2 linked regions of the Drosophila melanogaster genome follow. The protein of the gene in region 1 interacts with the protein of each later gene in a pairwise test. Each region holds a gene or a part of one and is shown on either strand. Other genes may lie near its edges.

The links. Proteins that work in one complex are often made in the same cells at the same time.
Region 2: the proteins of CG6733 (region 1) and Eato interact in a two-hybrid assay, tested with the Drosophila melanogaster proteins (one large-scale study listed by BioGRID).

The regions. Positions count from the first base shown.
Region 1 is NT_033777.3:23,096,111-23,099,697, forward strand, and holds CG6733 (uncharacterized protein), read left to right. Parts: upstream 1-1,617; 5' UTR 1,618-1,648; coding exon 1,649-1,739; intron 1,740-1,796; coding exon 1,797-2,288; intron 2,289-2,347; coding exon 2,348-2,765; intron 2,766-2,822; coding exon 2,823-3,027; 3' UTR 3,028-3,081; downstream 3,082-3,587. Other genes in the region: CG17109 (uncharacterized protein), read left to right, coding at 1-261, 322-739, 799-1,003; CG6738 (uncharacterized protein), read left to right, coding at 3,464-3,554.
Region 2 is NT_033779.5:13,782,301-13,790,115, reverse strand, and holds the start of Eato (engulfment ABC transporter in the ovary), read right to left. Parts: upstream 6,033-7,815; 5' UTR 5,947-6,032; coding exon 5,764-5,946; intron 5,646-5,763; coding exon 5,522-5,645; intron 5,404-5,521; exon of another isoform or gene 5,331-5,403; coding exon 5,130-5,330; exon of another isoform or gene 5,066-5,129; coding exon 4,595-5,065; intron 4,537-4,594; coding exon 4,378-4,536; intron 4,320-4,377; coding exon 4,141-4,319; intron 3,907-4,140; coding exon of another isoform or gene 3,862-3,906; exon of another isoform or gene 3,837-3,861; coding exon 3,620-3,836; intron 3,558-3,619; coding exon 3,257-3,557; intron 3,194-3,256; coding exon 2,881-3,193; intron 2,817-2,880; coding exon 2,665-2,816; intron 2,604-2,664; coding exon 2,420-2,603; intron 2,318-2,419; coding exon 2,080-2,317; intron 2,020-2,079; coding exon 1,396-2,019; intron 1,329-1,395; coding exon 326-1,328; intron 260-325; coding exon 1-259. Other genes in the region: CG16890 (uncharacterized protein), read left to right, coding at 6,679-7,119, 7,171-7,506.

The sequences.
Region 1 (3,587 bases):
CGCGCGGTACTCAGGACATGAAGTCGGTGGGCACAGGATATCTGGGTGCCATCCGCCTGCTTAAGGCAAGTGGTGTCCAGCCCAAGCGCAATTTCTTCGTGACCTTTGTGCCCGATGAGGAGATCGGCGGCGAGCTGGGCATGCAGGAGTTCGTCAAAACGGAATACTACAGCAACATGAATGTTGGTTTCAGTCTGGACGAGGGCGGCACCAGTGAAATAGATCTGTTCTATGTCTTTTATGCCGAACGTATGCGATGGGGTGAGTAATCCTTGAGACACATCTAGGACTAGAATCTAAACTATATCCCCTCTTTGGCAGGTCTCAAGCTGAATTTCAGTGGAACCTCTGGACACGGCTCCATGTTGCTGCCCAGCACTGCCGGCGTGAAACTGAACTATGTGCTCAACAAGCTGACGGAGTTCCGCGAATCGCAGGTTCAGAGGCTGGCCAATGATCAGACAATCAACATCGGTGATGTGACAACTATCAATCTCACCCAGCTGAGCGGTGGAGTCCAGAGCAATGTGGTGCCTCCTCATTTCGAGGCTGTCTTCGACATGCGTCTGTCCATCACCCTGGATGTGGTTGCCTTTGAGAAACAGATCCACGATTGGTGCGAGGAGGCAGGTGGCGGCATCGAGATCTCCTTCGACGAGAAGGAACCCTACGTGGCACCCACAAAGATCGACGACTCCAATCCATTCTGGCTGGCTTTCAAGGCTGCCACCGATGAACTGTAAGTCTGAATCGAATGCTCAACAATGCGTGTTCCTAATACGATTTGTATGTTTATAGTGGCCTTAAGATCTACCCCATTGTCTGCCCCGGTGCCACCGACAGCAGGAACATTCGAGCTCAGGGCATTCCAGCCTTGGGATTCTCACCCATCAAAAATACCACCATGCGCATCCATGATCACGATGAGTTCTTGGGCGCCGAAACTTATTTGAAGGGCATTCAAATATACAAGAAAATTTTGGGCAACCTAGCGAATGTCTAAAAACTAAATCGAAATAATACATGAAAACCTTATCAAAATAAAGATTGATGATTTTGTTATAAGTTAGTACAAAACTTCCTGGCCTTTTATCTTATCTCAACGAATACCTTAATCAACTTAAGATCTGAAGAATACAACTTGCTATCCTTGCGACAGCAAGTAGATAATGGATGTATCTACATTTTGCTGTATCATCATAGATAGCAAGTTGGAAGACTGGGAAGCCCATTAAATCCAAAATAATCACTTGATTTTTTCAAATCGAAGGTCATCAATCAAAGCTTCGTCATTTTAATTGAATTTGTCATAATTTTACGATATGATGGAAAATATTGAAAAATACATGACAACTTACCAAGAACTTGAGGTTTCAAAGGTTGAGGTTGCATAGATAATACGCAATGAACTCATTTCTGTGTAAGTTGCATAGATAATACATAATGAACTATTTGCCGCTTAGAAAAGTTACTTATTCGGATAATAGACGTGTGGGTTTTGCAGATAAGGGCGTTACTATCGCAACCACATACACTTTTGATAAGCATTTAAATTCCTTGACCATAAACATGAAAGCAATCAGTGTGATTATAAAAGCACAGACAATCTTTGTTGCAGCTCAGTTGCTGATGACAGAAGAGTGTCGAAATGAGCTCGGAAAAGTGGGAAAACAATGAGGAAATTAAGATTTTCCGGGAATACTTGCGTATACCAACGGTGCATCCAGATGTTGACTATAGTGAGGACTTAATTTTAATTCTTTAAAGTTTGCGTTATAATGTCTTTCAATGTCTAGCTGCCTGTGTGGAGTTCCTGAAACGTCAGGCTAGCTCCCTAAATCTTCCTGTTGAAGTGGTTTATCCTGCTGTTCAAACGAAGCCCGTTGTGATCATCAAGTGGGAAGGAAGTCAACCCGAACTATCGTCCATTGTTCTCAACTCTCACACGGATGTGGTGCCAGTTTTTCGAGAGAAGTGGACCCATGAACCCTTCTCCGCCGATATTGATGAAGAGGGTAGGATCTTTGCACGGGGTACTCAGGACATGAAATCGGTGGGCACTCAGTATCTAGGAGCGATTCGCCTGCTGAAAGCTAGTGGCTTCAAACCAAAAAGGAATTTGTATGTGACCTTTGTTCCCGACGAAGAGACTGGTGGTCATCTGGGCATGGCGGAGTTTGTTAAGACGGATTACTACAAGAAAATGAACGCGGGATTCAGCCTGGACGAAGGCGCCACTAGTGAAAGTGACGTTCATCATTTGTTCTACGCCGAACGTTTGCGATGGGGTAAGTTCCATAAGGATGATGATGATGGATTGGGGACATTACCGTTTCGCTTTATGCAGGACTCAAGCTGAAAGTCAGTGGAACTTCTGGTCATGGTTCCCTTTTGCTACCCAATACGGCAGGAGTAAAACTGAACTATCTGGTCAACAAACTGACTGAATTCCGCACCTCGCAAGTGGAGAACCTTGCGAGAGATTCCAGCCTCAGCAAGGGCGATGTGACCACCGTGAATCTCACCCAGTTAAGTGGCGGAGTCCAGAGCAATGTGGTTCCGCCACTTTTCGAGGCGGTCTTCGACATACGGATTGCCATTACTGTGAATGTGGTTGCCTTTGAGAAACAGATTCGCGATTGGTGCGAGGAGGCGGGTGGTGGCATTGAAATTGATTTCTTCCAGAAGGAGCCTTATATAGGACCCACCAAGCTGGACAATTCCAATCCCTACTGGCTAGCTGTCAAAGCCGCAATCGATGAGCTGTAAGTACCGACTAAAAATTAACTATAATGGCTAATCGAAATCCTCCTGTGTTTTAGTGGATTGAAGGTTCATCCCATCGTTTGTCCTGGCGCCACTGACAGTCGTTTCATTCGGGAGAAGGGTACCCCAGCCATTGGATTCTCACCCATTATAAACACCACCATGCGGATCCATGACCACGACGAGTTTCTGCAGGCTGATGTGTATCTTAATGGCATTGATGTGTACAAGAAGATTATTCGCAATCTGGCTGAAGTCTAAACAAAATGTTTGAACTACATGGATCGTGGCTATAATAAAGATGGGCTAATTACTAAAGTGTGCCTCGTATCTTCATTTTAGAGAGTAATCTTATCAAAAAAAAAAAAAGATTCAAGAGTTTAATTTGAAATTCCGTGTTTATCTCAATATTGTTTGTTGATTCTTTGACTTTCGCCTCCTTGATCAAGATATAAATGATTCTGATGGGAATTCTGTAGCAGATTGTCAACTATACTGCTTCTTGTCACTACCTCGACTGCCATCCAAAGTGACTTGCAATATAGTCAGAATTGGAAGAGATCTGCCGCCCATTGATAACGATTTTCTTATCATATACGCATAATCACTTTTGTGGCACGATCCAAATGCATATAAAGACAGCGGATGCCTTTAGCTGCTTATTTCTACTTTACCATCCTAACGATTCATATTAAAAATGAGTGCCGAAAAATGGGAAAAGAACGAGGAAATTCGAATATTCCGGGAGTATTTGCGAATTCCATCTGTACACCCTAATATTGATTATAGTAAGGTCCTTATTTTAATATTTCCTTAAATGC
Region 2 (7,815 bases), on another chromosome or scaffold:
AAGGACCACACTCTCCTGCGTGCTAACAAAGTAGGTGAGTGTGCCGGCATGGCTCTCGCGCAGTTCCAGACCAGGAAACTCTGACTTCAACGTGCCAGTGATCGTGGACACATTCATCTCCGTTTCGGTGTCCGCCTTCATTTTCAGTTTTATCGTGAAGCCGCTTAATCGCTTAAGGGCGCAAATATTGTTCAGACACTTGAACTTTCCGTGCGCCATGATGGCCAAGCGATTGCACAGCTCTTCGCACTCGTCCATGCTGTTTGTAGAGAATGTGTACACTTTTGAATCTGTTTGAAAAGGAAATATACTTTTTTGGGCTTACCTATGTGATGTGAGCACCACTGTTCGATCCTTTCCCTGGAAATCCTTGATGCATTGCCAAAGAAATCGTCTCGAGATGGGATCCACACCGGTGGTAGGTTCGTCCAGGAGCACCAGTGCGGGTGCACCAATCATGGCCATTGCCGCCAGAAGCTTGCGTTTCGTGCCGCCCGAATAGTGGCGCACTTGCACCTTTTGATATTTGGTCAAATGCATCTTCTCTAGCCAGTACTTCACGTGCTCCTTGCAGCTGGCTGGTCCATCGGTCCTTCGGCGGCTCAGGCCGCGCAGCAATGCCATGTAGTATAGGCACTGCTCGGCGGTCATGAATTTATTTAGTGCATCGTACTGAGGGCAGTAGCCAAAGTATTCCCGGTATTTCAACTCATGCTCGCGAATGTCTGCGCCTTTGATGCGGATAGTGCCACCATCTAGAGGCAAATTGGCCGCTATCATCTGAAAGGTACTTGTCTTACCCGCTCCGTTAACACCCAACAGACCAAAGCATTCACCCTGGGCAGCCGCAAAGCTGACTCCGTCCACAGCCAGCTTATCGCCGTATCGCTTGCGAAGATTGTGCACAATCAGTGAATGGTCGTTCAATGGGTCTTTTATCAGATCGGTAACCCGTTTTTCCTCCCTTGCACAATCATCAATTTCTGAGATCGGAGTACTGGGAAGGGTGCCTGTCGAATTGTATTTCTTTCTTTGGAATGCCCATTCCCAGATGCCATCATGAATTCGTCTGCGCAGATACTTGTGTTCCAGGACTATGGTAAAGAATGCCATGACCATAACACCCACGGCGGTGGCATAGGCAAAGAAGGTGTCCTGGCTGATAAGACCCTTTATAAGTGCCGGATGGCGTCGGGTTATAAAGTTTTCATTGATGATGCGAAACTGGTGATTAAGATTGAAGTCCGGTAGGAAGCAGAGGAAGGCGATCTTGGTCTCATGCAGTTTCATGGCCGCCGCATTGCTGGAGGTGATAAGTGGGGCAATGGCTAAAAGAAAATGGGTTTTATAGTTTTTCTAATTGTTGTCACTGGTTATAAAATCAAATAATATTACCGGACACAATCAGCATCAAAAGCAAATAAGTAGATATCGTGGATATCGACTTAAAGTTGTTTCCCAGGGCGTATAGAATGGGCAGGTAGCTGCAGCCGTAGAAAAATATGCTTAACACAATGACCTTAAGTTCAGCCGTTGTATACAGCTCCGAGGGCATCATCAAGGATTGCAGACTGAACAGGGCAACGCAGACGAAGATCAGGATCAGCATATCAAAAGTAAAATGCGCAAACCAATAAGTAAATCGCGACATGGTCTGCAGCTGTTTGAATCCATTGGCATATTCCCGAAACGGCAATGAGATGAAATAGAACATGAAGAAGAACATGCCGATCGGCACGATGACCGCATAGTATTCGAGGCGCGATGGACTTATGTCGCTAACAAATCGACGAATTGGCACGTAAGTCGTATCAATTTCAGACTCTGGACGCCCTAGCTTCAGCATTGCCGAGTCCACCAGGTTGATAAGCTCCACAGAGCTGTGGTAGCGATTGCCTGAGTAAAAAATCTCAATGGTGGGCGTATCGGAGGTGCCACGCCCACCTCCGTACATGTCAATAATGCCAATCACCTGCTCCAAGAAATCAGCCAAGTTGTCGCGTTGTAAGTCAAGGGATTCTAGAGAACACATGTATTGATAGAGCCATTAAAATGTTTAGCACAACGTCGCATACTCACCATTTTTCACATCATTACTCCCACGCAGGTGCATTGTTTTCGCTGTGATTCCATTCAGCTCGATCTGTTGACGCAGCTGCTGCTCCAAATGGGCGTGATGGCCCGTTGGATTGTGAACGTATATAACGCCACTGCCCATCTGGCTGAGCTTCAGCGGCAGAGCCTCTTCGTTCTCCACCAAGGACATGGCGTGCATCACCAGTATAGCCCCGAATACGCATACAAAGGGAATGCACAGCTAGCGAGAGGGGAGCACAAAAAGTTTTTAGTTCGTTTTAGTTTTAGTTGTTTTCGCCGTTTATACAACAGAGCAAAGTCCTACAAATTGCTAACAACTTACCATTATCAGAGTATATAACCATTCATTGGAAATAAAGGTCCACTTTTTGTAAAACACAGCCATCCAAAGTTGAAAAAGTCCGCGATGAGGGGGATGGTCTTGGAGTCTTTTGTAGTGTGCCAGTAGCGGCGCATCATTGCGCGAACCATCGGGGGTATCCACTTGATCCTGTTCGCCTGCGCATCTAAAACACCACATAAGATATTAAAGCAAAAACAATAAACAATGTATCTTCCAATCCCTACCTTAGGAAAACATCCTCCAGGGAAGTGTCGGTCATGGAAATTGTATGTATGCCCAGTTCCTTTGATTCAGTCTCCAGCCTATAAAGCATTTGTGCGAAACAATTTTTATAGGCATACGGCAGGCAGATATACACAGTAGGATTCACCACATTCTGTTCAACGTTTAAAGGATATTATGCACACGCCTTATATAAAGTTCATTTATTAATGACTTACCAAGACTCTGGCTGTTGGCACAAAGTGATGGATTATTTCCATGATTTCCACTTCTCTTGATGTAAAATCGTTGATCTCTAATTTGAGACGATAACCAATTCCCGATTTTCGTTTTAATTCCAAAGGACTCCCGATGCTCTGCAGTTTTCCATTGGCCAATATGCAGATGGTATCCCCAAGGACCTCGGCCTCCTCCATGTAGTGCGTGGTGACCAGAACGGCCTTCTCCTTGCGTAGATTAAGTAGGATGTCCCACAGCTCACGACGCGAGTTAATGTCCAATCCCGATGATGGTTCGTCAAGGATTACGATTCTGCGAGATTAAACAAAGATTTTTAAACCGAATATCTTTAAGCAATATATCTCTTAAGTTTACTTGGTGTTACCGGCAATGGCGATACCCAGTGATAAACGCCTCTTCATGCCTCCAGACAAATTCTTGCCGAATTCGTTTCGCTTATCGCTAAGTCCCAGCTTCTTAAGTTTCTCATCTGCCCAATCGCGTGCATCGGATCGGCAAGCTCCCCGCAGCTGGGCAAAGAACTCCAAGTGCTGGTGACATGTCATGTAGCTCATGAAAACGCTGTGCTGCGGACAGAATCCAATCAGGTGGCGATAGGAGGCCACATCGCGCTCACTGCACACAATTATCTTGCCCGAATCCTTTGGTACCAATCCTGAAAGAGAATCAACATGTGCATTGGATGGCCGAGGAAGCGAATTGAGTTTGAGTCCCTACCCATTATCATGTTCATCATGGTTGTTTTTCCAGCTCCATTGTGGCCCAGCAGGACAGTAATCTCCTTGTTGTTGATCGTCATGTTCAAGTTGTCCGAAATTAGCGTATCGCGCTTGCTTGTCTGGAACTTCTTGCACAACTCAGTGATTATGATAGCATGAGTGCCGCGCGGTGTCGTCGTGTATTCGTTGCGTTGTCGTTTCATGTAAGTCTTGGGCTATGGTTTAGAATAAAGAAAATTCTTAATTTAACCCTGTTTGGTTATGCAGCCGATAACCGATACGGAACTGTAAAAAGGACATTTTAACCGATTTCAATAAACAAGATTCGATCAAAGTAACCTATTGAAATAAAGAGTCTTACTGCATCTGATCTCATACTTGATTATAATGAACATAAAATTATAATACGAACTGAATTGAAGCTTATGTCGAGATAAGAAAATATATCACACGAGCGAAAATTTTGATCTGATACCGACATTAAATATCATTGGTTCGGACTTCGGAAATAGTACTTACATCTAGGAAAAAGAACATCGGTCGCTTTAGTCCACCAGGACCGGGAAAAACACAACCCAAATAGTTGTAGAGCATGGCATACAAAAAGGATTGAAAGACGAGAACCACGTAGACCGAAAACATCGTTGAGGAATTGCTTTTGATTACGCGAAATACATCCACAGCACCGAATTCGCGATCTTCAAAAAAAGCCAGTGTTCAAATTTAAATGTTAAGCTACTAAAAACCAATTTAAACTCTTACGCTTATTTGAAAATGTCTGAAAAATATCCAATCCCTCCAGAAAGGTATTCGTGCTAAAACACACAAATGCCAGCGATGTGGCCCAGCTTCGAACAAATGAGAATGCATAGGGAATTATTAGCATTGCCAGCCCTCCGATTTTCGCATAGAAAACTGTAAGTTATGTAGAAGATTAGTAAACTTTGCTGAATATATCAATGTAATTACTTACCTGAGTGGAAGCAAATAGAGATCAGATAAGCATACGACATGGTTGACAAAATGTAAAGCAGAAACAACACTGCCACGTAAGCAAAGCAGATGGAGCCCAGGGCCTTGTATAAATATGCAACGACCAGGACAAAGATCATAAGCAATGTGTAGCACACAAACCGAATGAGAAAGAAAGTGAGGCCGTTGAGGAAACTCATGGGCGTGACCAGGTTGAGAAACTCCTTCAGTCCGTTTTGCTTCTCCTCCACAAAGGGCACCACAAAGCTGCTTAGTAGGACCACATTGAATAGAATGCTGCACAGTGTTCCGAAATATGTCAATCGATGACTATCCATGCTGATGACCTCCATGTTGGGCATCGAGCTGACCACCACCTCAAAGTCTTTCCCGAGCTCCTGGTATTTCATATACTGTTTGTCCAATATGTGTTGCAAGGACAGGAATCCGGAACGAATATAATCATCATCATCTGATAAACAAAAACCAACATGCGGGTTCGTTAAACGGTAACAATGGAAAAATTGAACACGCACCTATCTGGTGATAAATTTCCTCGTCGTTCACAAATCGCTTTCTGGGCGAAATGCGCATCTGATTTGAGCTGAGGCTGTATCGGAACTTTCTGTCAGAGCCACGGTTCGGTACCCGGTGGAAGTCAATTGCGAAGCAGCTTCCACGGCACTGTTGCTCCATCTCCAGCTGCATCTCGAAGCTGTTGTTGTTGGGCCGAAGTCCTGCGCAATGAAATATTGTTAAATACAATCTAGAAGATAGTATCGCAAATATATGCAGTGAATTTTGTATGTTATTTTGTATGATCGTTATCAAAAGTACATATAAGCTTTATATGGTCGGAAACGTTTACGTTTACCATACAAACTTTTCCACATATCTAATTTATGAGATAATTTGGAAATGCACTTACGCTCTGGTATAATTCCCAGATCTACACGCAGGAGATCCATAATGTCCTCTACATTGGGAGAGATGGGTGAGTAGTAAATGTAATCCAGCTCATTACCGGGAAAGTACAATTCTCTAAGAACCATCTAATAAATAAATTGAAGTCCAATGATAAGGATTAGTGTGGTCACAGGTTTGTTATCACATGCATACGTATGTACAAATATAAAAAGCAGATAAAGTAGCAGTGCGAGGGAAACTTACTTCATTCTTTGCTTCAAACTGGTTAATTTGGTGAAGCACGGGCTTGACGGACCAGTGGAGGTACGCGGTGAGTACTCCGGCAAATCCGGAGCAGATAAGGAGCAGGGGCAGCAAGTTGCGTTGCAAGTAGAGCAAATTCTTCCGCAGAAAGACGAAGAACAGCGGGGTAAAAGTCCCAGCCATTTTCTGTTTAACATCAACTTTTCCCTAATTTTACTTTGCTTTGTTGAATGGCATTTTTTCTCTATCAACGTCGATAGTAATACTTATCGAAATGGGAACCGCACCCGCTCCTGAGACTTGAGTCACTGTGGGAATGAATTCAATAACATTGGACTTGTAGTAAAAAACGGAGGAACGCTACAAATAATTATTGTTTACTGATAAGTGTACAGTCTACTCGTAGCCAAAGCCAATGGGGGTCATAAAATAATTTTAAAAAGTGTGTAAACTTGGAATTTGTTTTTTATTTTCTTGTATATTTCACATTTTTAATTTGTTTTTTTGATTTATAAGTAAAATAAATATTGTTTAATTATATTTCATAAAAAGTTGCATTTAATTAAGCAAAGAACTCTTAATTTGTACCTTTAAAGTAAGAAATTTAACTTATTCCACAGTGTGTAAACAGTATATGTATTGGCTAAGATTAATACCATGCAGTTTCGCCATTACGGGCCATTCTTCTAAACTTGTTATAGCCATTTTATTTTGGTTAATAACAATAATATATATTAAAATTTATTTATTATATTCAGTTGGAATAATTTCAATTTGTGATTAAATTTTGCAGCTTCATTTTATTTATCGTTTAATATATAGCGTAAAAATAGCCAGAGTAGGACCACAGTCTTCGATATATCGATAGGCAGTGCCCTGAAATCGAAGTCTGTTTATTATAAATTTTTTATCATAATGAGCGGCTCGCAATTATTCCCAGTGAATCTGAACAACCTGAGTGCCAAGGAGCGACACAACTATATACTTAGTAATTACGTGCTTAACCTACCGAATGAGACGGAATCACGTCGGCACAAGCGAGACATCGATGTAATCCGAGAGAATCACCGCTTCCTGTGGGAGGACGACGAGTTGGATAGCGACACCCTAAGCTGGGAGCAGCGCTTGGCCCTGCGATACTACAGGAAGCTATTTAAGGAGTACTGCATCGCGGACCTGTCCCGCTACAAGGAGAACAAGATAGCGCTGCGCTGGCGAACGGAGCAGGAGGTGGTCACCGGAACCGGGCAGTTCCAGTGCGGCAGCCGGCATTGCGGGGAGCGGGATAATCTGCGCAGCTGGGAGGTAAACTTTAGGTATATCGAAAAGGGTGAGCCCCTAAATGCGCTGGTCAAGGTGGGTTCCAAATGGGTTTCCGCGATTGTGTCACTAATGGGAATTCCATAGGTGCGGCTGTGTCCCACCCACACGGATCAGCTGAACTACCGCACCAAGAAGAGAGAATGCAAGAAGCGGAGACGCAGGGAAAAGGAGGAACGGCGCGCTGAAAAGAAACGTAAGCGTCGAAAACTCGATGTTGGTCACGAAAGTTCTGGCGAAGAGGAGGAGGAGCCTGTCGAACCAGCATCCGAATCCCATCCAGAAGCCAGCAAGGAGCCCACAGACTCAAAGGATGCCACCACGGCAGACGAACAGATCTGGCAACAACAACCCGATATAAGCCGAGAGCAAGCCTCCAGAGAGCAGGAATTCGAGCGATATCTAGAGGATCTCATTTTTTAAAATACATAGCACATTTATTTGGATTCAACGTAGACACTAGTGCTCTTTTTTATAGTTACTGGCCGCTAGATGCGTTCGCTTACGAACTACGATGTACATGTACACTCACATTTACAGGATTATTCACAAGAACTGCGTGTTAAAACCGACACCAAATCTAAAGTTGAACTGGACATTAAGGCTGTGACTCTGATTGATTTTTGGAAACATTTCCGAATGGCTACATTTCAGGCATGCACCTAGTTCAATCGCTATTTCTATATCCATCGAATGCAAATCGAAGGTTCGAAAATACAATACTATTTCACC